Linked DNA regions of Alligator mississippiensis. The protein of the gene in region 1 binds, or shares a complex with, the protein of each later gene. Links are inferred from orthologs where the notes say so. Each region holds a gene or a part of one and is shown on either strand. Other genes may lie near its edges.

Region 1 (8,143 bases):
AAAAACAGTGTAGAGGTGGCTACATAAGATTACAGGTGCAGATGCACAGAGATGCGACAACTCCATTCTCAGTTCTTCAATACCATTGATCCATTGAGTAACAAGAGCATTTTCATGTAGACTCTTATACATACCAGATTGGGGCTTTCTGATGTCATCTTTGAAACCAGTGACACTGGACTGTTTAACTTTTTGGGTCTGACTTCATACTATTAATGCTAATGACTCATCAGTTCATGGTCATATTCTTGAAAGAACAATTTTCAGGACTTTTTCTGAGAGAGTTCTGAGAATTTTTACATTTGAGTAGTTTTCAGATAGTGGTTATGTCCTTATAGCTAAAGGTACTGAAAAATATGTTACTGTATTTTAATGTTAGTTAATGAAGAAGCATCAGATATATGTTTATAAAGCTGTTTGCTTCTTGCATGAAGGATATTGCAGAAGTTCAGTGTGCTGTTATTTCTTAGTTCCTGCCATAAAACATAAGGCCATAATGACAGTTCTTATTCATGATCGATATATACTCATGTACATGCATGTGCATGCACACACACAGACGCAAATACAGTAAGCCCTAATGTATGCCTGAGAACAGGTACAGTATACTGGAGGTATGGTTAAAACCAGCCAGATGCTGCAAACATATAATGTCTCCATTAGAGTGTATAAGGTACAACTGGCTTCACAAGTTTTTGTAACTGAAACAGCTGCTTATTACTCTTAGATCAAATAGTCGTATCTGAAGTCTACTTTTTAATAAAGGAGATTGCTCTAAAAAATTTATAGTGAAAAATATTTTTAGAGCAGGTCATCAAGCTGAAAAGAATTGCAATTTAAAAAACATACAAGAATGTGAAATGAGAGACAGAATACATAGGAAAGAACTTGTGGTGCTGAGGGTACTTGTGGAATCACCTTGTTCATGCTTGTAAAAAGAAGTGAAAATATAACTTAGACATGAAAACCCTATAAATACACAAATAATTTTCTCATGTTTTCTAACATGTAGACAGTGACATTTTCATTTTGTATCAGACTTATTCTTCCAGTTATAGCAGAATGGTCCCTATTTATTTCAGTTAAGTCTAAATATTTCTTCTTACTAATTAGAAGCCAGACACTTCAAACTTTCTTTATTAGAGTTGTAGAGGAGCCACGCGTGACTATCATCTATGTAGGCAAAACTTCAGTTAAATCAATGCCTCAATAAATAAGAAATGTCACTGTGATTTTTGTTCGAGTAAGGGCTACAATACTAGGTTATTTGCTTCTCTGTAAAGGGACCTTCCACACAGTGGGTACAATTGTGCTGAGTCAAGGATGTAATTTTGGATTTGTTCATGTAATCCTGACAAAAAAAAAATTGGAATAAGATTTAGTGTATATATACATATTTCTGTGAAATCACTGATCTTTCCAAACATGTCCCAAGTATACTGTATTCTGACAGGTTTCCATATGGCCCTACTTATTCTGATTGAAAAGGTAGTTTGAAAGCTGTTCATAGTTTCATAATAGAGACCCTACAAAAAAAAATAAAAGTGAGACCCTCAAAGTAGTCAGGGGGGCCCTTTGCATAGCTCATGTAGAAAAAAAATACTATCCCTTTTTGCATTTGATTTCAGATATGGACTTTCTTTTTGTATCTTGAACTGTATTGTAGATTTGTTTACCATGTATGAAATTTCATTAATCATCAAGGTGATTAAACAGATAGTTATGCAAAAATCAACAGTATCTTCAACTCATTTCAAATATAGTCAAATAGAAAGATCAAATATGTGCTTCAGACACTTAAAAAGATGATGCATTTTGATTTTTGTCTGCATTAGTAATAAGAAGGCATGTTTTGTTTTTTACTTTTGTAATGTGTATGTTAAAATGACTCCAATTTGATCAAATATGAGTTTATACTTCAGAAATATTAAGCTCAGTACAATAACTTTCCAGTAAGTGCTTACAATTCTGGGAATCAATTCAAAAGTAACTTCTATGAATTTATATTTTTTTAAAGAGCAATCCAAAAGTAGTCTGATTTGAAGCTGTCAAAAGCAGTTTTGAACTCAGAAGTGAATTAACACAATGAAAAGTCCCTGAAGCAAATATTGAAAAACTACCCTGGTTGCTGGTAAGAAAACAATGATTTTACATTATCCATATGTGATGGATAGAAATGTCCTTTATCTGTGCCGGGGCATTGATCACACATTTAACTTTGGTTGAAAACCTTCTACATGAAAAACCAAAAAATAACTGCCAACAGTATGATACAATCAGGTGGACTGATTTAAAAAAAAAAAGTTGAAGTGTGGGCTAGATTCTTACAGTAAATACTAATTCTTCCACCCTACTTGTGTGAATTTGTATCTAACTTGGTAAATAGTGCCATTTCAACTGTCTGATGGAAAGTCTACGTAAGCAAACAGAACACAGCCCTATATAAATATATATTGAATATGGAAAATAAATGGATCAGTCCATAAGTGTCATTATTTGTAACTATTTCTGCTGATTGTACCAAAAATACATTTTCCAAGCTATGTTTCCAAGCTATTCATGTCTTGCTTTTAAACATATGAAATAATTGTTCATATGCACAATCATTCCATGACTTGTCCAAGATTCCTTATTTTGTAGGTCTCTTGTCTGGGCAAGATATTCCCTCAGGTTAAGAATGAAAGAGGTGTATACTACAGACATACTTGATTGAAATAGCTGCTAAATTGCTGCAGTAATGAGAAAATTCCCTTTCCCTGGATAATTCAGCTGCTTCGCATTGAAGCATTTTTCAGATAAAGAAGTTCAGTGAAATTAAAAATTAAAGAGAATTTCTTTCAAATCACATATTGCCAGTTACATACCCCTACTCCCATTGAATTCAGCAGCAAAACTCTTATGCATTTGAATGGAAACATGGTGAGGCCATAAAATCAGTTTTTGCTATAAAATAAGAGACTGGTTTATACACGCATTTGGATGTGCAAATGCTGATGTACATCTGAAAAAAATGTGGTTAAAAAAAAACACATGATGATGATGAAGTTCACCTAAATCTTTCATTGGCTTAGAAAATAGGTCAAGTCATTGCTTGCTAGCTCTCTGCTGGTAGCCAGTGCAGTCTCTCTATTCCAGAGTAGAAGAGATTTTGCTTGATATTGGAACATCAACTTTCATTCATAAGGTCTGTTGATTGCAAAGCTTGGCTTTCAGCAGTTTTTAACTGAAATTCATGTATTATTTGTGTAATTACATTATTGCCTGTGTCTTTTCATTTAAGACTGTACTATAACATACTCACAGCTGTTTTGAACTTTTAAATGTTTTAGTATGCTTTATTTCTAGAATTTTTTAATGCTTTCTTGATGGCCACTTGTTTGTATGCAGTTGCGAATATATATACACACATTTCTCAGTTAATATTTAAGAAAGGATAAAGTAAGCATTACTAACTGTTGCTTAGAATTCAGTTGCTGCATACATAAAGCTCTGTATTTATCAACTCATTTGTTATGTTTGTGGGATGTTTTAATGCAGGCATTGCATCTATGAATGAGATGTGACCAAGCTCGCACAATTTTGTGTATATGCAAAAAAATGCGGCAGCATATCTACAGCCTTCCAACTTTTTTTTTTTTTTGATAGAACGGCATTAAAGTTCTTGTTTTAAGAGAAATCGGGTATTAGATCGCAGTTCCTCAGGACAATTATTAGGTTTTCTTCATATAGGTGGAGATAGCTATTAGTAAAGTAGGGCTGTGATCCTGTTTGGGGCCTCCCTCTGTTACAATGATATTTCCCTCTCATAATCATTATTTAATATTAATTGATATAGGTGTAAATAACATAGCTTTGGTAAGACACTAGGTCTAATTGGGAAGGCACTTCTCTGTGCGCAAATGGGGGAAGCCACAGTGAAGAAGTGTGTGCACATTGGTGAGGAAGCATAAAGCAGCATGTAAGTTTGGGAACTTGAGTAGACAGGAATAAATGTTAAGTCTTTGCATTATCCATAAGAATTAAACTGAAGGCTTTGCTCAGACTAAGCTTGGTGAAGTTAGAACTGGAAGCTGCAAATCCAAGGATATTAACACAAGTTTTGTACCATGGTGGAAATCAGCAGGAATTGGGGAAAGGATGACTGCTTCCCTGCCTCCTTCACTGACTTATGAAAATGTAGCGAGCCCTGCAATATTTTTGCTTTTCTTCACCCCACCAGCTCCTATTGTATGGGTTTATGAGGCGTTTGGCTTTCTCGCTTTAAAAATAAGTTTCTGGCTTTTGTGCTTCATACCAATATGAGCCTTAAAATGAAAACAACAAACAAGCAACCCCTCCCCCCCACCAAAAAATAAAAAAATCAAAGGACAAAGATAAAGAACCTGATATATACAACTCTCCCTGTCTAATTACTTATCTACTTTACTTTGCTTCGTTTCTTTTTCTTCCTTCTACCTACTTTTCTTTCTGTCTCTTTTCTTCTTTCTTTTTTTGTCTTCCTCTTTTTCTCTTTCTTTCCTTCTCTCTCTCTTTTCCTGTTTCTTTCTCTCTCTCTTTTCTTTCCGTTGCCTGTCCGTCTTTCCTTCCTCCTAGCTATCTATCTGCCCTATGAAATCATCTCTCTCATGTCACGATTTTGAAGGCACCCTCTGCCGGGGGGGGGCCGGCCCTGCCGCCCACTCGTAGTCGAGAGAGCCAAAGGCGCCTGCCCCCGCCTGCCTCCCCGGCGCTGCCCGGGGCACCTATCCGCCCCCGTGGTCCCGGGCGGCGCTGGGGGCGGGGCGGGGCGGGGCGGGGCAGGAGGCGAGGGGCGGGGCCGGAGGCGGGGCCAGGGCTGCGGGTGCAGCGGCGGAGGCAGCAGCAGCAGGAGCAGGCAGGCGGGCTGCTCGTGGGCATTGCAGCACAGCTCGGCAGCCGGGGCGCGGAGGCGGCGGCGCGGGGGACGCGCCCAGGCTCGCGAGGCCGGGGGCAGGCTGCGCCCCTTGGAGCGCGGACCTAGCCCTTCCTCCCTCCCCTCGCCCGCAGCTCCTGTTCCTGCTCCGGCCCGGCCTGCGGAGGCTTGGGGCGCCGCTCGCTGCACTAGAACTAATCGCGGGGGAGGTGCGCGGGCGGCGCGGGGCGGGGCGGGGCGGAGCGGGCGATCGTCAGTCAGTCCGTCTGTCTGTCTGCGCGGGGCCGGGCCGGGGCCTCCCGCGGCCGCAGGAGCCGCCGCTGCAGCAGCCGAGCCCGGGCGGTGAGTGCCTACGCCGGGGCCACGCGGGGAGGGAGGGCGGGCGGGGCGAGAGGGCTGCCAAGTTTGCCCTCCCGGCTGGGGCAGGGTCCTTCCCGGAGGCACAGAGATCCCGCCCGCCCGCCCGCCTGCCTGCAGCCCCTCCGGCTCCCCCCGCTGCTGAGCTGGGCTCCCCGCTTCATCCCCTCTCCCCTGCTGTGGGGCTGGGAGACGCGTTCCCTCCTCCCCCCTTCCCCTTCTCCTTTCTCTTCCCAAACGTGCCTTCTCATCACTTTAAGTTCCCCAATGTGCAGCCCCCCCGGGGAGGGGGGCGGCTTCCTTCCCTCTGAAGCAGAAGGTTGGGACTTCAAGACATGCAGAAATCTACAACTCCCAGTTCGGAGACCATACCTCTTATTAGGCTAACTAGGAGATTGCCAAAATATGTATATCTTTTTGTAAGCTTTTGGGCTTGGGTGCCCTTCTGCAGGCTCAGGGTAAATTAAAGATGGTTCAGAGTCCCTGTAGGTAGGAAATAAACTTCATTTTGGCACAGAGGGAGCTGGAGATGGAAAATCAGTCCCTCTGGGTCCATGAGGGTGTCTTGGTGAGTTGTTTGAGAGGCATTTTGGTACCAGAGAATCACAGCGGAGCAGGGTGGGGTGAGGGGGGCATCTAGTGCAACCCCCTGCTCCAAGCAGGACCATCCCCAAGCTGATCAGCCCAGCCAAGGCTTTGTCTAGCTGGGACTTAAAAGCCTCTGAGGATGGAGATGCCACAGTCTTTCTGGGTAACCTGTTCCCATGCTTTACTGCCCTCCTAGTGAGAGAGTTTTTCCTCCTATCTAACCTAAACTTCCCTTGCTGGAACTTGAGACCATTGCTGCTGTCCCCAAAACCCTTCAAGGGTGACTCATCTCCCCCTCCCCCCCCCCCCCCAACCTTTGAGGGCTTATTTTTCTTTGCTCCTGGTAGGAGTTTGAACAGCACAAGCTACAGCCATGTACTTTTGGGGTTGAGGGCAAGTTGGTAGGATTTTTTTAAAAAAAAGGCTTTTGTGAGGACAGACACTTTGCTTTTTTTGTTGGCGGGGGTTACTTTTGAGTCTTTCTTTTTAGTTTAAAGTAACCATGAAAGGCTGGGAGGGCTGGACACATGTTGACAGTCTCTCAGAGCTATGGAGTTGGTGGCTTTAGGAGTGACTCGGTGCAAGGGGGGGGGGGGGGTACGGTTGGCCCATGCTGTTGGTGGGTGGAAGAGTGAGTTGATTGAACAGTATCTTTTTTCTGCCCCCACCCCTTCAGGAGTTGTGCCTGAATTGGTAGATTGTAGTAATGTTTTGAGAGCATATGTCTGCTGGGCGTTGGGTTGGGACCTCCCAGGCCACTTGGAATTGAACCGAGTCATGACAGGGGACGTTTTCAGATAAGGGATGGAGTTTGTTTATAAAAAGAGCAATCTAATCTACTAAATTTCTTGTGAGGAAAAAATAGCCTCCCTTCTGAAATGAGGCCATCTGCGCTCGCTTCCTAGTGGGTGGTACCAAGCCTGTGTCTTCATTGTTCAATTCTGAATTGCTGTTTATGGGACTTGGCACTGGAGTGCCATGTGCACACGCACACCTTCCCCCAGAGGACAAACAAAAGTTTTCTGATGTGAGAATGGCCTGCTTCTGTGGCATGTGAGAATCATCATATGGTTTTATGGCATCTGAGGAAGGGTTTCTGCAAGGGGAACAGGAATTGACCTGTCATGGTGAGCTCTCATATAGCGCACCTAAAATTTAGTACAGATATGGGTTTTCTGCTGCTGGCGCAATTTCTTTGCTCTTAAACTTCTGGTGGAGGAATCTTACTCTTTTAACCTGTCCCCATTCCCTTATGAGCGGGAACAAATACTGACTTTGAAGCAGTAGAACCAGTGGATGATGCATTTAGTATTACATATGTATGTGCAAAGGTTGTACAAGGGATTAGTGATTGTGCATTAGAAGGTGAATGGGCACCTGTCCTTCTTTTGGACTGGCCAGTTCTCCTGGATTGTTATCTGTTGGAGGTGAGATCACCTCACTTGGTCTCTTTAGATCACGAATGTGTTGAATATCAAGGGCTGTCAAATGTCCAGTGTAACCAAACTGGATAATTGTACTCCTAATGCTAAGGATGACTTGTACCTGTAGTAGGTAAATAGATTTTCAGATGAAAATGAAGTTTCTTTTTCTAGTTGCCAGGTGCTCCTTAAAAAAAAAAAAAAAAAAAATAAAGGCAGAAGTTGAAGAATAAGAGGTTTGGGGTTATTATGATAATAAAAACCATACTGTTTGAAGAAGCAGAAATGTTTTCATATGGTAAACTTCAGTGGCTGATTTGAATGTTAAATATACCACCTGCGGTATTTGTCAGCTGTTTTTTCTCTTGAATCTGTCATTCTGTACAAGACACCAAGAGGAAAAAAATGATAAAAAAGCAATGGTTCACTAAAGGTTGTCACAGAGTTCAAACCTGAGTGAACTGCAGTGCTGATCTTACTTGCTTGTAGTTTTTGCTTCATCTGAGCTTTGTTAAAAAAGACACAGGCCTGCTTGGTTATGGCTTATCACACTGCCCTTCCAGGGGGAATTCTTCTTCCTTATTTGTAAGTAGGTAATATAGCTAATTTAACCCCCCCCCTCCTTTTTATGCATTTACATTAAATAATACCAATAGAACAGTGAAAATTGGAGTGCTATTAATCCTATCTGTGACTGAGTGGGATGTGCCTGTATCAAATTATGAACTCCTCTTTGTATTATGCTTTGAATACCTGTCTAAACTTGCCCAAGGCAAGCCCATAGAATTGCATTCCAGACAGCTGCCTTGTCTGGCAAAGGGGCTTAATACCTCATTGTAGGGCCAGTAAGGTAAAACCTTAAACTGCACTCTGGAGCTATCAAACT
Region 2 (7,773 bases), about 93 Mb from region 1:
GTGGTGCCAAGAGGCAATGCCTCCTGCTGCTGCTGCTGTTGCTGGTGGCAGGGGCTGTGTGCCAGGGGGTGAGTATGTGGGGGGTCCCCACACCCCCCAACCTCCCTCATACTCACACCCTGCCCACCCAAGCTCTGCATTCCCAATGCCCCCCTGAGCGTAGACTCCGTGCTCCCGCCAGCCCATGGTCCACACTCCTGCCCAGGTGTACCTCTCCCTGCCCCCGCTGCAGCTCCCCCTGCCACTTCCCTACCTGCTGCCTGGAGTAAGCACTGCAGCAGGGACACAGGAGGAGCTGCTGGAGGCCAGGAAAGCCGAGCAGGTCCCCCAGTGGCTGCAGCAGTGGCAGCAGCCCTGCCCAGAAGCTGTGTGCTGGCTAGGCTGGGGCCCTTCTGCACACGAGGGTGGGAGTGAGGCTAGCTGGGGTATAATTAGTTGGTGGGTGCCCATGGGCTGGATGACATTGTCTGTTGCTCCCTGGTTTAGGAGCACTCAATTGTTAAACGCTTATAAAAAAATTGCTGCGCTAATGTGAACTGAGGTTTTTTTGGAAGACTTATAGTTTGGCCATATATGGGCAAATTTTCACAAAAAGTTCACTCCTAACATAGGGCAACCCCTCTGTCAAATTTAAAGTCAGTGTTCAGGATGGAGATACCAAGGTTCTCCACAAAAACCTTGTATGAATTTAACATGGGCAAAAACCTATTTTTTTCCCCCCCCCCAACATCACTGGTGAAAATGACTGGACCATTTTATCTATAATTACCTGGCCAAGAAAAATCCAACTGGAGTAGTTAAAATCTGATAGGATTATTAGCAACTGAACCTGGGGTCTTCCAGGCTTAGCAAGTGGTGGTGCAACCAGCTTCAACTACAATACATAATCTTGAAATAAAAACTAAAAACAAAAAATGACAGTTTTGGCTTAATGCGTGTTTCCTTTGATCTGATTTTATACAACATAAATCATAAATCTTCAAAAATTATGTTTTTATGATCCTACTAGACAAAGAGATAACTTACTGTGTTGTTTTCCTGTGATGAGGAATAATTCAAGTTCTTACCCTGCCTGATTAATCTCACAACTAATATTTAGAAAAGGTTTCACTTAGAGCTGATCAAACTTGGCAAAAGTAATCTTCAAACTATGCCACATTCACTGATTTGTAAGATTTTTCAAACTTCTGTTTTATTAAGTGCAGTTTAAATTAGCAATAGCACTAAATCCACTGGCTTATGACTCCCTCTGAAGCTTACAAACAGCCCATGGATCACATAAAAGAAAGCACATGCAAATCAAGATTATGACACACTGATCTCATCCAGATTGCCATTTCAGCAGTAAAAGCTTAATTCAGTGAAGTCCTTATGCTCACATTATTTTGCATTCCAGAGGTTAGTTGCTCATGGTTTGGAATGGATGAAGACAGCTCTCTGTTTTGCATTTCAGCCCAGGTCTAACAACTAATCCTTGCACTATTTGTTCAGAGAAGCTACAGTTTGATGAACAGCTCATGGAGCTCTTCACTAGGATCCCGCAGTGGGAGAATCAGGCCCTGCTGGGACAAAGTGGCTCTGAATATCATTACCTACTTTGCAAAGGGCAATAGCAAAGAGCAAAGACCTCCACAAACTGCTGCCCCTTAGAGATTCTATTTTTGCTAACCAAACTTTGAAGGATTCAGCTTGCCTTCACTTCACTGCCTTTAGTTCAGTAAATATCTTCCTGCAATAGAACAGGCAAATCCCACAAATAGCCCCCAACATGTATGTGTGAGAGGGTGTAAATGAGAGATTTGCTTATTAACATTTCCCTATCCTTCTGCAAAATCTCAATGGAGTTAAGGAGCTTCATGATCATAAAAGGGACAATGCTATCGTGGACCTAACTCAAAAGAGCAATAATGGTGTGGCCCAGTTGTTATGATGTGTAGAATTGACTGGTGTTACGGGAAATATGCAAATAACATAAAAGTCTGCCTTAATACTGGTTAATTCTTTCTCTGTTAAGGGACAGGCATTTCAAGGGAGTTTTGCAAGTATGATGGTCCAAAATGTCTTAGTTGTGACTATATGACCTCTTAGCACTGAATCAGGGGAAACAGAAAAAAAATACCACTATGCTCAAAGAGTTCTGAAACCCACTAACTAGATTCAGCTAGTATTTATTAATATATAATTTCCTTTTATTTTTGCAGACAAGCATGGCTACTAACAATGAAATATATTCCTGAATATATTCACTCCAGCCAAAGGGAGAAAAGAAAAGTCTGGGCACAAATAAATACTAATGCTAGTAATGGAAATATTCCAAAAGAAAAAATCAATCTTACAGATTATTCTCGATATCTTTAATCACCTTTGTCACCTGGGTAAATAATATTCTAAGCTACTGATTTGAATGCCTGCTTCGTATCTTCATGGTTTATTGCAAGGTGAAAATTGTGTCTGAAGGTAAGTATTGTCCCGATGCAAGCATATAAAATTACTTTCTTTTAATGAAGATTCAAATATGCTGGAGACCAGCAAGGTAGCTCCTTTCCAGACACTGCCAAGGGATTTCTGAGCGTTTGGTAAAACACTCTATCTGGGTACAGTAGACTATCAGTGAGTTATTCTATTTGTTTATATAAATGGGCCAATGCCTTTTGAAATACTTCAAAGCACTTAACTAAAGCAAACAAGCACTTGAACTTTAGATATCTAACAAGAGGAGCTATTGACAAGTATGACTTTCCTTAGTAAATCTTAATATCTTTGGGAACTATAATTCATATTGTCTCACAGCTCTGCATGAAGGAACACATCAGACTCTTATCTGAACTTGGGCTCCACAAGACTCACAATAAATGTGAAAAACAGAAGTGCTACTGCCTGCCCCCATTATTATTTTTATTCCCCTTTTACTTTCCCAAAAATGACAACCCTGGAGCCCAATAACATCATCTACAACACAAGTCATGGATACGCATTACATCTGTGGTGCTATATATGGCCCTATTACACACAGGAACTTCTATGAATCACTACAGGTAATGTGTGGACAGTTAGACGTAGCATTATAGGAGGTCTCCTGGTTCCCAGTATCCCATAATGCTGAACTTCCCCTCCTCTCCCTACCCACCAGAAAGAGAAGGAGAGTGGCCGTCATAGGGCCAATGCTACCTTGGTGAAGCAGCAGCGTAGCGTTGCTGGGGGGATTCTGCTGCCACCACTAGCAGTGGCACAGCTGGTGCCCACATGATGCATGCTGTAGTGCCAAAAATGAACATGTGTCCTTGGGCAGACCTTGCTGCTTCTTCTGACACCTGATTTCTTTAATTGTAGACGTTTATATGTTTTTTACCCTTTTCTAGAATGCATGTGTTCTTGGATGGCCATCCTAGGTACAACTTCATAGATATTTGATGCATCCCTATCTGTAAAAATGAATTTAGAAGGAATTAGAACATTGTAAGTCACTACTTTTGTTTACTAAAATATGACAGCACAGTTTGTATTTAACCTAAGTTGTTCTCCCCATGTCTACATTTGAAAGTTTTGAGCCAGCCAAATTATATTCTCACTTAACAACGTGTGCATCAGAGATGAATATTCAGAATTACTCCTGAACTTCAGCAGTATCAATGAGAACAGAAATTGGCCCTTTAAATAAAATGTCATCGGTTTTGTGAACCTACTAGACAATTCCTGGTCACCTCTCACTCCTGGTAACTGTGGTCTAGGTGGTTACACTTTTACCAAATATTTTTCCAAAAGGTGGCTAAACGGCCAGCTTATTGAGCTTCAGAAGTTCAAAGTTCAGTCAGTAGTCAAGTTTCTGAGCAGTACTTTAACGTGTTTAGCTATTTGTAAGTGTTTACATTTTCTTTGCAAACAAAAACCAAGCAAACAAAAACTCAGGCATTAGCTAAAATCACAATGAGCTTTCTGGCTTAGAATAGTAAGATCTGATCCACATATCCATTTTTGCTTTATGTATACTTCAAATATGTCAAACATCATACCGCTTCTTAGCTGGACACGGTCAAATCAGGTTTACTATTACAAATCATCTCTATTCCAGTATGAAACAGTAGAGATTTTGTGGCATGGTGGTTATGGCTAATTTTTATCTGGGGAATACCAGGAATGTAGACCACATGGCTAAGTACAGACAATCAAAAGGCCTGAGGCGGAATTGATTCAATGTTTGCAAGTTAGTCTAAGCTGCGGAGATTGAACCAAGAAGCAAGTGAACAGACATTCTGGAAATGCAGTCACATGCCTGCAGTGACTTAGGCTAGAAGCTGGGGGCTGCTAGCAGCCTTCCCTACCCTTTAGCAGTGGCCAGAAGGCTAGGGGGAAGCTGGGAGAAAAGCCCTCCAGGCTTTTCCTGCTCCCTGCATGAGCAGAGTGGGGGTGTGGGCAGGGGTGCGCCTGACTATGGTTATAGAGAGGGGTTTAAACCTGCAGGGACCCCAGCCAGGATGCCCCTGGGGTGGAGGGAAAAAGCAGCACCTGCCAGGCTTTTTCCCTACTCCCCACTGAAGCAGAGGAGGGGGTGTGGCTGGACCCTGGCCCAGGCCAGCATGCTGAGAGGGAAGAGGGGGGTGGGTTTAAATTCCCTTGCCTGCACGGGACCCCAGCAGGGGTCTGCCTGGCAGGGGCACAGCAGCCACTTCCAGGCTTTTCCCCACGCCCGGCTCGAGTGGAGGGGGTGGAGGCATGGCCAGATGCTGTCCCTGAGCCGCATGCTGAAGCAGAGGGGAGGGACAGGGGTTCAAAGCCCTCTCCCTCCTTCAGCCTGGGTCTGCCTGGCAGGGGCGCAGCAGCCCCCATCTGGCTTTTCCCTGCGCCTCGCTTGAGTGGAAGGGGCACAGGTGTGGCCAGATGCCAGCCCTGGGCTGGCACCCTGAAGCAGAGGGAAGGGAGAGGGGATTTAAACCCCGTTCCCTCCCTCAACCCAGGAGGCCCAGGCTGAGAGAAGGAGAGGGGTTTAAACACCCTCTTCCTCCTCCCTGCTTCAGGATGTAGCCTGCGGCCAGCATTTGGCCATGCCCCCACCTCCTCCGCTCAAGCGCAGAACTGCCTGGCAGGGCCTGGAGCTCCCTCTCCCCCTCTGCCTCATTCTGCCTGCTTGGCCGCAGGGTCAGGCCACCTGCCCTTTCACCACTCCAGTGGCGAGTGGGAGAAAAGTCTGGCAGGGGCTGCTCCAGCCCTTGCAGGGAGACCCGGCTGCCTTCTGAAGCCAGATTTTTCCACCCCCACCCCCTTCTCAGCTAGCCAGAGCAGTAATAGTGCTCTGGCTAGGGAGCAGACAGAACAGCTCAGCCCAGGGCTGCAAAGCATCCTGGGATGCTGGGGGACTGTGACTTAACTTGAACCAGGAAGGGGTCTGGGACAGAAGTTCCATAAACTGGTTTGACCTAAATCAGTTAAGTCTGATACTGCATTAAACCAGGTTCATCTTAAACCAGCTTCAGCCATTTTGAAAGTGGTTTATGTGCACTGACTTTCTGTTCTGTTACAGGTTTAAACCGGTTTCTGATCACTTAAACTGGTTAATGTGTAACTTCTGTCCCTTGCCCATGAGTACAAGTATGTGACAGCTAAAAAGCAGATGTTTGAGACACACCTTTCAATTCAACAGCAGGTATACTTCATTCTACATAATACTAGAACCCCTTCTCAAAGCACAGATAAGAAATTTCATTCTGGATTTGTTCACCATATGCAGTGTTAAAAATGCTTAAGGAAGCTCAGTGAAAAATCCTTTGCATGCCCCTAATTGTTGCAATTTCAAAAGGAGGCAAATTATATTTTGCAGGTGATTTAGGTGTCCTGAGATTTCACAGCGCTGGTTAAAGGAAGCTGTTATTCTTTAAATAGCATAAAGTGGGGTTAGTGGTAGCATGGGTGTATTTTACGTGGGTTTTCAGACTTCAGTTAACTAACTGACTAGAGAACGGTTGAAACTGCTTGAATCAGTAATGTAACATGAGGTGAGCGAAAGTGGCACATGCCCCAGACACCACCTAAAGGGAGGGGCACCAGAAGGATGGGGCAGGGGAGGGGTGTTCTCAACTGTAGCAAAAGCCTAACCACAGTAGGTCTCTAAACTGTCACAAAAGTAAAACCGGTCCTGAGTAGAATAAATTTCTGTTTCAACCCACAAAAGATCATTTTTGTAAAAAGATAAACACATGTTGATCTAAGAATACAATTTCACCCTTTAAAATGACGAAGTATGGTTTTTTTGTTAGATTTATCAAGAACTTCAGTGTTACAGGGCAATACCTGATGTCTGGTCAAGTGTCTTGCTGTTTTTCAAGCACTGTTCTGTTAAAAAAATAAAGCTGTATTTGAGTGCAAGAACTCCTCAGTGATAAAATGCAGGTCTAGGCACAGTTCCTCAAGGAAATAGCTTTCAAAAATCTCTGAAATACTCTGTAAGTTATAATTGGGTTTTAATGCATAAAACGGCTGAGTAATTTAAATGTTTGGAAAAGAAAACAGTCTTTCCTAGAGTTTATGAAGTGGCAAGCCTATTTCTTATAACGATTAGCTATGAATCATCACTTCAAACATGAGCATCTACTAGCATATGCTCCATACAACTGATGCTGTATAAGTCCAAAGATTTAACAAATTAACATTTAAGGGTTGATTCTGATCTTAATCTAAATCTTTTATACTAACAGTATTCCACTGATTTCAGTGGAATTATCCCTGGCGCACACTAGAAAATAGTAAATGAGATCAGAATTAGGCCTTTTCACTGGCTGAGAGCTCCTACCACATATTTTGCCCTATGGAAAGAAAACAGAAATATATATAGATATATTGAGAAAGTGGGTATATCACGACATTGTCATGGGAGACAGACAGCAACAACAACAACAGAAAGGTAACATAACACTCATTATTAAAAATGTCATAAGGAATAAATACATATTAAAGGGAGAATGAAATGAGCTAGGACCGCATAAAGTGTATGTATGGTTAACAATATCCCAAATGGCATGCTATTCTAAAGCACAGATAAAACAAGAGTAAAACAAAAGATAATATAATAGAGTTTGGAATACATTGCAAACAAGCAACAAGATCTAATTATTTGGAAAGCTCTCCAAGATCCTGTGGCTTTGGGTGAACTTAATTAAAGAGAAGGGAGAAATTAAAATGGAAAGGAAAAATCAGACTAGATAGATTGAGAGAGAAAAAGAGACAGACAACAGGACACAGGAAGAAATATTGTATCATTTTCTACACCAGAGTAATTCAAAGGTTCTATGAGCATTTTTCAATATTACAAAAATGCAAGATATAGTTTTAACATCTTGAATCCAGAGCCTCCCCCTCTTTCCAAATGTGGCACCTTAATTTAAAATATATATACAGTATACTGCTTGTAATTTATAACTATATCCATTATCATGAGTAATCTAAAAAAAAATGATGTTTTTAATTTCATCTGGAAGATCTTAAGAGCTGTAGTTATTCTGATTTCCTAAGAAAAGCTCTATTTCCCACAGTACCTGATTTCTGTAGATAAAAGTACTTGCTCTAGAAAACGTATACTGATCTCAGAGCAGAAGAGGTAGCCCTGAATTAATCCAGGTCCAATTAAAAGAGGGTTTAGAAGATTAGGGCCAGAACCTTTCGTTCCATCCAGTATTCCATGACAAACTGATAAAGAAACTAAGAGAGAAACTTTGTAAGTTGTGTATGGGTCCTACATCTATGTATGGCAACACCTATTTCCGCTACCTTGCTAACAAGGTCCTG
Region 3 (7,746 bases), on another chromosome or scaffold:
TACACTGCTCACAATTGCTCACAATGAAGTTGAAAGAGGGAAAAAAGAGGAAATATTTAGTTAACTAGTGACAACCATTCCTCAGGACGATTCTAGAAAATGGCAGAAACGTGCGCCTAGCATGCCTGCAGATTTCTGTTTATAAAAATATAATGAATATCACAAAAAACATTAAGTACAATGTCCTCCAGCAATACAAATGCTGTCCTTAAAATTTGAAACTTTCCTAAACTGGTAGTTTAGGGAAATTCACTGGGGGATATGAATGAGAGCATGCATTAAAACATATTTCAGACCCACCTCATCATTAGGAAAGACGTCTGGGCTTATTTTTTTCCCTACTTATTCACCTTGAAGGAATCAGAGTAACAGCCAGAACAGAGACTATTTTGTTCACTGGTCTCATCTAACTGTAGAACAAAGAAAACAAACATACTGGCTCCTCTCCCCCACCCCCCAACTCAATTTGTAATGTTTTTAATACCAATTAAACTCTACCACTTCTGCTTTGCCATGGAAGCATCCGTCATAGTTACCCCAAGAATATTAAGTGACTGCAAATGGAAGGAAATGCAATTCTCAATAAGGGTTAGGAAGCAGGGTAAAACCCTTTCTTTAGTAATACATGAAGTGCATTGTAAAAACATCCGAGAACCTCAACCAAGAAACATATATGGATCAGCATTTAACCTACTGGAAAATGACTACTCTTGGGTAAATGAATAACTAGTGTAGGTGGTAACATCTTTATTTGGGAAAACTGCCTGTCTTTTTCAGCTGACTGTTGGCCACTTTTTCAGTCTCCTGTGTCATCACTTTTCCACTAGAGGCTTCAGTACCAGGCCATAGGTAGTTTACATAACAATAATTCTTTTTAAAAGTTTTTTTTAATAATTGAAAAATATATTATATATTCCCATCCATTAGCACAGTTTTGAAAAAACAAATGAAGAAATAAAGCTATTCAGGGCACATCAGATACATTTATGGTATCTAAAAACAAAATATTTCAAATTGTGAATGTTATAGTATTTAAAACTGCAATTAAGAACATAGTCTTTCCTTTGTAAGTCTCATTCCTTCAAACTTTTATTTTCTCCATTACTTCAGTTTATACAACCAGTTTAGCTCTGGGGCATCAAGCACTTTTGCAGGAGTAGCAGCTATTAAAATAAATGTATACAAAACAGGTATGTCTGTTGTCTTAATAACTTCATTGATTTAAAAATCTACAAATACCTTCATGAATAACAATCCTACATCCTCATTTGCAAGAGTGTCTTGGACTGGCTGGCACAAGTTAAAGAGTCAGGACCTAAGATCAGCTTATGGCCTGAACAAACACACCAACACATGATCCTAAATGTCTCCGTTATAAAGATTCTTCTTTTCCCTTGCACTTATACCTATACTATTTGTGCACCGTCAGGTCAGCCCAATATCAAAGGAAATCCCACATTCTACTTATTCTCTGCATATTTAAAAAAAGGGCCTGAAGTGAACTTCAAAGAAGAAAAACGACAAGGGAGTCATTTTCACCCAAATCTCCATCCGAGTCCTGCTTTCAACCAGACTAAACAGGTTAATGACAAGCCTATGCTGTTTTCCTACAGTTCCCGACCTTCATGTTTTAAAGGTTAGAAAGGCATGATCACCTAGTGCCTTGGTCAATTTGTTTCCAATACTGTCATTTATGCAATATTACTACTGAGTGCCAGCTCCAATTTGCTCAGTGTTTGCGCTCCAGGAGCAGACTTGTATTTTCTGCCAGGCTCATTACATCATCTGAAAACCCAAAACATCTCCTTTTTTTCCCCCCCAATCCTCCCCCCTTCTCAGTGCACAGCTGATTGCCCTGGAAAAGAACAAACTCGGGCTGATGTTAAAAGACTGGAAAGAGACAATTTCCAGGAGCTTCTGCTGCTTGCCAAGGCTGCCTCCATCACTGACCTTCGGGGTTTGGTTTGGTTTTGTTTTCCCCTCATTCCCACTGTTACATAACCCGGTGCTTGCGTGCAGTGTGTGCGCCTTGAACTCCCCTCCTATTGAATCCCAGGGGGAGGAGGGACATGTGGGTCAGCAGGTTACCAGTATCAAAGCCGAAGCCAGTCGGGTCGCCCTCCAAATTGGAAATGCAAATCACCCCCAACACACACACACCTTCCTATGTATCAATTGCCGCCGCCACCCCTGCCCTCCCCTGACCGGGGGGATGTAAAAGCTAGGGAAGATGCCAGCCCAGGCCGCCCCCCGGTGCGGTGCGGTGCCGTGCCGTGCCGTGCAGTGCCGGCGCCCATCCCAGCCCAGCCCGCGGCAGAGCGGGGCTGGACCAGGGCTCGAGGTTGTGTAACACCCCGCGTCCCGCGCCGGGCGGGAAAGCCCTCGGCATGTGAAAGCAATTTTCTCCAGTGTTTCTCATTAACCTCGTTACATAAGCGGCTGGCACGGCCCCGCCACCGTCTCCCCGCGGCCCCGGCTCGGCACCGGCTGTCGCGGGAGGCCGCGGCGGGCTCTACTGTACTGCGCGCCCGGAGTGGGAAGCCGCCTGGAAGGGGGGTGTGGCCAAAACGGGGAAAATACTGTAAAACACAGGGCGGCACATCATCAGCCATATTCCGCCGACAGCCCCAGCCAGGCGGCGGGAGGGGGCCGCTCCCCGCCGGCGCCCCCCGGCGCGATTGCAGCCGCTCGCCCGCGTATTTCCTCCGCGGCAGCAGCGCCGTGGCGGCCGTGCACACGCCGCGCGCAGCTCCAGGTGTGCACAAGCGGCAGCGCCGCGCACCGGGCGCGTGCAGCCCCGCCTCCAGCCCGCCGGTCCCCGCCTCGCCCGCGCGACACTCGGCCGGCCCCGCGCCGCCAGGGCTCGCCTCGCCGGCGGGCGTGCGGGCGGGCGGGCGGGCGGGCGGGCGCGGGGGGAGCCGCCCCGGCCCCGGCAGCCCGCGCCCGGGGCACAGGCGCTCGCCCGCCCCGGCTCCGAGGGCAGCCCGGCGGCTCGCAAAGTTAGTTTCCCTGGTCCCCGGCTCCCGCCGGCGCGGCCCCGGCGCCCCTCACCTCCTGCTCGCAGCAGCTGGAAAAGTTTGCGCGGTGCCGGGGGCCCGTCCGTGCGCGGCCGCCCCCCGCCCTCCGCCCCGGCTGCCTTACCTCTGCCGCCGCCGCCGCCGCCGCTGGAGTAGCTCTGCCTGCGCGCGGGGGCCGGCGCCTCGCCTTTCCGCGACGGCTCCAGGCTGGCCGCGGGGTCCCTGGCGCCGGGGGCCGCCTCGGAGACGCTGCTGCCCGGCTCGCTGGCGGCTGGGTCGGGGGCTGCCGGAGCGGACTCCATGTTTTTCCCAATGTAGATCGCTTGGAGATGGCGAGCTCCTACACTCCCTCTATCTTCTGTTTCCAGCGCGACTCTATGGTAGGAGGCAGAAGGGAGAGAGCGAGTCTGATCCAGATGGGATGCGAGCGTGTCTGGCTGTGACCACAAGCAGCGCTAGCGAGAGCTCCTCGCCCCCCCCGCTCCCTCCGCAGCTGCCCGGGGCAGGGGGAGCGGCTCCCGGCACCGACCCGCCGCCCGGGCTGCCCCGACACGGGCACGGAGGGGCTGCCGGGGACGGACTCCCGGCTCGGGGGTGGGCAAGCCAGAGCCGCGGGGGAAGCCGGCTGTGCTACTGCCCCTCGGACCTCTGCTCGGGCAGGTGACGGCAGCAGGACGTGAGGGAGGGACCCGGCCACGGCCTTTCCACGGCAGCGAGAAGGGCTCTGGCAGCCTCCCCTTGGCAAGCGCAGGGTGTGCGGAGGAGGCTAGGGAAGAGGGGGCAAAGCAAGGGGATGGGGGAAGGGTCCTCCGCCACCCCTGCCTCGCACTAGCAGAGGGAAGTCTTTGTGGGGCCCCTTCCTTGGGGTCACCTGATCCTGACCCCTGGCTAAAAAGAAGCACCACAGGGGCGAACACAGCTTTCCTGTGCAGCGGTACTGTGCAAGCAGCAGGGGTGCCTGACCCACTGGGTGTCACCGCTCAGCTGCCCTGTGAGCCCTGAGCCGGCAAAATCTGACACCAGGTTGGAGGATGGTCTGCAAGGCCCTCTCCAATGATGTCGCCTTTGGCCTAGGGGAAGGTGCGCTGTGCTGGGAGCCAGAAGACCTTGGGCTCTCTGATTGAAATATTCCTGACTGATTTTACAGATCTAGGTCTCCTAGCCCTATCCCAGAAAGCAGGTAACTGAAAGCCAGTAGTGGACCCAGGAAAAGGACATGGGAGGTGCAGCCCTCTACTTTGGCTGTGCCATGCATGTGCAGTAAGCTCTAAGCTCAGTGCTTAGTCTGGCCAGAGCCTCTGATTTTGCCAGGCTTCAGAGCCCAAGGGCTGAATGCTGCTACTGTTTGCCCTTTCTCTCCTTCCCCCTCTCCTCCCCATCCCTGCTGAATGCAGCAGAAGGGGAAAGGAGGGGATGGGTGGCAGTGCTGCACCCCTGGACGCTGTGAAAGCAGAGGCTCCAGGCAGATGCCACGCAGAGCTCATGTGCAACATAACCAGGGATGCAATTGTGTCACTGCACCTGTTCTCTATCTGCCACTGCAGGAAGCAGATATCGCTCATTCTATTTTATTACAAGGTAACAGAAGTTTCACAAGATCACATTAGAAAGAGCTGGAATCAGAACATACACCTCTAATTTAATAGCTGGAAAGTCTTACAAACTGAATGCACCAAACCTGCGTGCCTAGCTACCAACCTGTAAGCATTGTTTAATGACTAGATCACACTCTGCATCTGGGGTAGGAAGAAAATCTAGTCATCCCAACAGCCAGCATTTCACTGCCATGTAACACATAGTTGTGAAACACACCAACTGTTACATTTGTCTCTAAGGGCTGGTCCATAAATTGTATAATATCCTGCTGTGCCATTATTTGTACCTTTCTCTCAAGTGCAAAAAAGTATTCTGGGTACCAACTGTCTATGTAGGAAAAAATGATCAAATAATTACTATCCCAATGCATAAATACAGTGTGGCTGTGTGAATCATAGATGATAGAATGTATTAGTAGGAGATTGAAAGCAGCATTAAAAGATTTTTCCTTTATAATCAGACACTGTAACTTCCAGAAGGTCAGAATTTGATTTAGTAGTTATGGCTTTGAATAGAAAATAGTATTCAGGCTAAACGTTCAGGTACTTGGGGAACAGATGTCCCAAGTTACTGCTACAAAAGGCCCCAAAGCTCTTCACCCCTACCATCAGTTTGAAGTCCTCTCAGTGTAGGCTGAGACATTAAGTGACTCCTCTGATGTGAGATTGGTGGATTTGAGTTGCAGTTCTTTGCCTCACAAACACTTTCCTTTGCTTTTCAATAACTGGCAAACTCAGAAGAGAGGCCAAGAACTATATAAGCCTTAGAAACTGAACTCCTGGTTACCCTTAGAGAATTCTTCCCCTCCTCCCAGATCTGGATTGAGGCAGGCTGACCAGGCAGCATGTGTTGGGAAGCTTGCCCGGTTAATAAAAAGAGGACTTCATTCCCCAAGGCTGTCAAACCAATGCCTTTCACAAGCATTAGGAACAATGGAACTACTTGCAGGAGAAAGGCTCGCTCATGTGAATATGCGCAGGACCTGATGCTTCTGGAATTCCAGATGCTTTGAATGATCCGAGGTTTACCTTTGTTGTTGTTTTTCTCTCTGCACTTCCAAAGGTCTACAGAGATTTCATGTCCTAACCTTAATTGTGCATAATAATTTGTTGGGGACCGGAGAGGAGGGGTGGGTGTTCCTGCTTGCAAAACTGAACAGATTTTTAAAACTATTTCCCCCATTTTGCTAGGAAAAAAGGAGAGAGAGAGACAACAAAGGCTCTGACAGGGCAATGGACAAGAGTTTGTTTTTAAAAATGAGAGTGTATTCAAAAGATAAAAATAATATAAGAAAAAAAAGAGAAAGTACATGTGTTTGTAGCAGGGATTTGAATCCATGCAGAAGAGAGAATTAAAACTAAGTCTCCCAACAACCTCTCCTCTCCATAACTCAGGAGCAGTAAGGAATAGCTAAGGTAGAGCTAGAGCCTCAAGTAATACATCTCAAAGGGCAACATCGATTTACTGGAGTGTTTCAACAGCACCCACGCAACAAGCAGACAAAACAGCTCTACCTTATGTCAAAATAGAGAGAAAAACCTCTGGAGAACCTGAATTCATTGCTTGAGAAACAACACTGTTGTTTTAAATAATGGAGATGAACCCCTACGGCTGGTATGTCTATAGTGAAGTAGTACCTTGCAGCTGACTGTCCTAGTTCCACAGGATAAGTGCTGAACCCTTACAAGCCCCTAGCTGCTTACTCATATCCGGAAATCTCGAAGAGCGTGGATACTGTTGTTTGTTTGTTTATTTATGCACTGTATATGCTACCCTTCCCAACAGACACAGCAGCTTACAGGAAGTTTATGGTTTACCCCTCTAGAAACAAACTTTGTAAAAGATTCCAAAATCAGTTATTCTTTACTTTAGACAACACAAGAAATACACAGATCTAGACAAAACAAGAAACACCTACAAGGCTATTCTTGCTTTGGTTTCCTAACCACTTTGGTCCTGCCACGATTCCAACTCCTTTCTCTTTGTGGCTTCTCTGGAACTATGAGTTACTCCCTTCCATTTAGATTCCCTTAATCTTAGCTGGTTCACATGGTCCCTTCTCCCTCCTTCTCTGCTAAACCTGGTGTCTTTGTTCCTCTCTCCTTCCTAACCTTCCTTGTAAATCCCCCTGAGTTGTTTAGTAGTAGCACCAATACCAAGTTGGTTTGTTTGGCTTCTGGGGAAATTCTGCCCCTTCAAACCTTAGCTGTCTGCAGAGAGGTTGAAGAAAATTGGTTTCATCTAGGATGTCCTTACTTTCAGAGATTTATTCATAAACAAATAGTCTTTAACAATCTATCTAATCACTGGCTGACATGCAAACAGTATTCCCATATCCCTTAGCACAAGAACAGTAGTAACCCAGTGAAATAATCATGCGAAGACATGCTATAGACAGTGTGAACTGTAATTCCTAAGTTTTATGTTTCCTGAATCAGTCATCATAACACAGCAAATACTGGATTGGACCACAAGGAAATATGTCAGGATCACGGAAATAGATTCTTGCTGAACTCTGCTCCCTTACTGGGCAGCTATCAAGAATTACTTGGGGGGGGGGGGGGCATCTACACGTACATTAATGCGCCGTTGCTACTGCACATTAAGTTTAATACTGCTAATATATGGTACTACATTAATGTGCAGTAGCCAGGGCTAACGCGCTGTACTAAGAGTGCATGATCTTTTTGTTACACTTAATGCACATTAGCAAGCTTTTTCCCATTACATGCTAATGTGCAGTAGAATTAGTCTACTGTGCATTAAGCATCTCATGTATACACCCATGGATCTTTAAAACAAGCAGGCAGCTGGGCCCACTTGACTACCTCACATACAAGGCCAGTGGGGAGCCCTTCAGCCTCATAATCATAGCATGTATCCCCAAAATCCTTTTATGAAACTGTCTTTGTGTTCCCACATCTTTTCTGACCAAAACAGTGACTACTCAAGTAGAAGTTAGTTGCAACTTCAGTCAGCCACCAAGGAAAGCTTAAGTATCCCCTAGGTGTTTTGAAACAGAGGATGGTTAGGGACAGAAATTACTCATAAAGCAGTATAAATACTCCATTGTGGATAGATGGAGTATCAGACTTAACTGATTTAAATCAGTTTAAATCAGTTTATAGAACTT

The links.
Region 2: the proteins of NRIP1 (region 1) and ESRRG are in contact, whole or in part, in a crystal structure (PDB 2GPP), measured with the Homo sapiens proteins. The link is inferred for Alligator mississippiensis from reciprocal best matches to the Homo sapiens genes NRIP1 and ESRRG. Residues at the interface, in NP_001426204.1 of Homo sapiens: Ser378, Leu379, Leu380, Leu381, Leu383, Leu384, Lys385, Ser386, Gln387; in NP_001429.2 of Homo sapiens: Val277, Ile280, Lys284, Phe289, Leu294, Gln297, Met298, Leu301, Gln302, Lys448, Leu449, Glu452, Met453.
Region 3: the proteins of NRIP1 (region 1) and RORA are in contact, whole or in part, in a crystal structure (PDB 4S15), measured with the Homo sapiens proteins. The link is inferred for Alligator mississippiensis from reciprocal best matches to the Homo sapiens genes NRIP1 and RORA. Residues at the interface, in NP_001426204.1 of Homo sapiens: Thr499, Leu500, Leu501, Gln502, Leu504, Leu505, His507; in NP_599023.1 of Homo sapiens: Gln332, Val335, Lys339, Phe344, Met345, Gln349, Gln352, Ile353, Leu356, Pro505, Leu506, Glu509, Leu510.

The regions. Positions count from the first base shown.
Region 1 is NC_081824.1:278,939,841-278,947,983, reverse strand, and holds the start of NRIP1 (nuclear receptor-interacting protein 1), read left to right. Parts: upstream 1-4,855; 5' UTR 4,856-5,233; intron 5,234-8,143. UniProt on the Homo sapiens protein: Modulates transcriptional activation by steroid receptors such as NR3C1, NR3C2 and ESR1. Also modulates transcriptional repression by nuclear hormone receptors.
Region 2 is NC_081824.1:186,319,365-186,327,137, reverse strand, and holds the start of ESRRG (estrogen-related receptor gamma), read right to left. Parts: upstream 3,406-7,773; 5' UTR 3,276-3,405; coding exon 3,169-3,275; intron 1-3,168. UniProt on the Homo sapiens protein: Orphan receptor that acts as a transcription activator in the absence of bound ligand. Binds specifically to an estrogen response element and activates reporter genes controlled by estrogen response elements.
Region 3 is NC_081834.1:33,281,151-33,288,896, reverse strand, and holds the start of RORA (nuclear receptor ROR-alpha), read right to left. Parts: upstream 3,406-7,746; 5' UTR 3,320-3,405; coding exon 3,142-3,319; intron 1-3,141. UniProt on the Homo sapiens protein: Nuclear receptor that binds DNA as a monomer to ROR response elements (RORE) containing a single core motif half-site 5'-AGGTCA-3' preceded by a short A-T-rich sequence.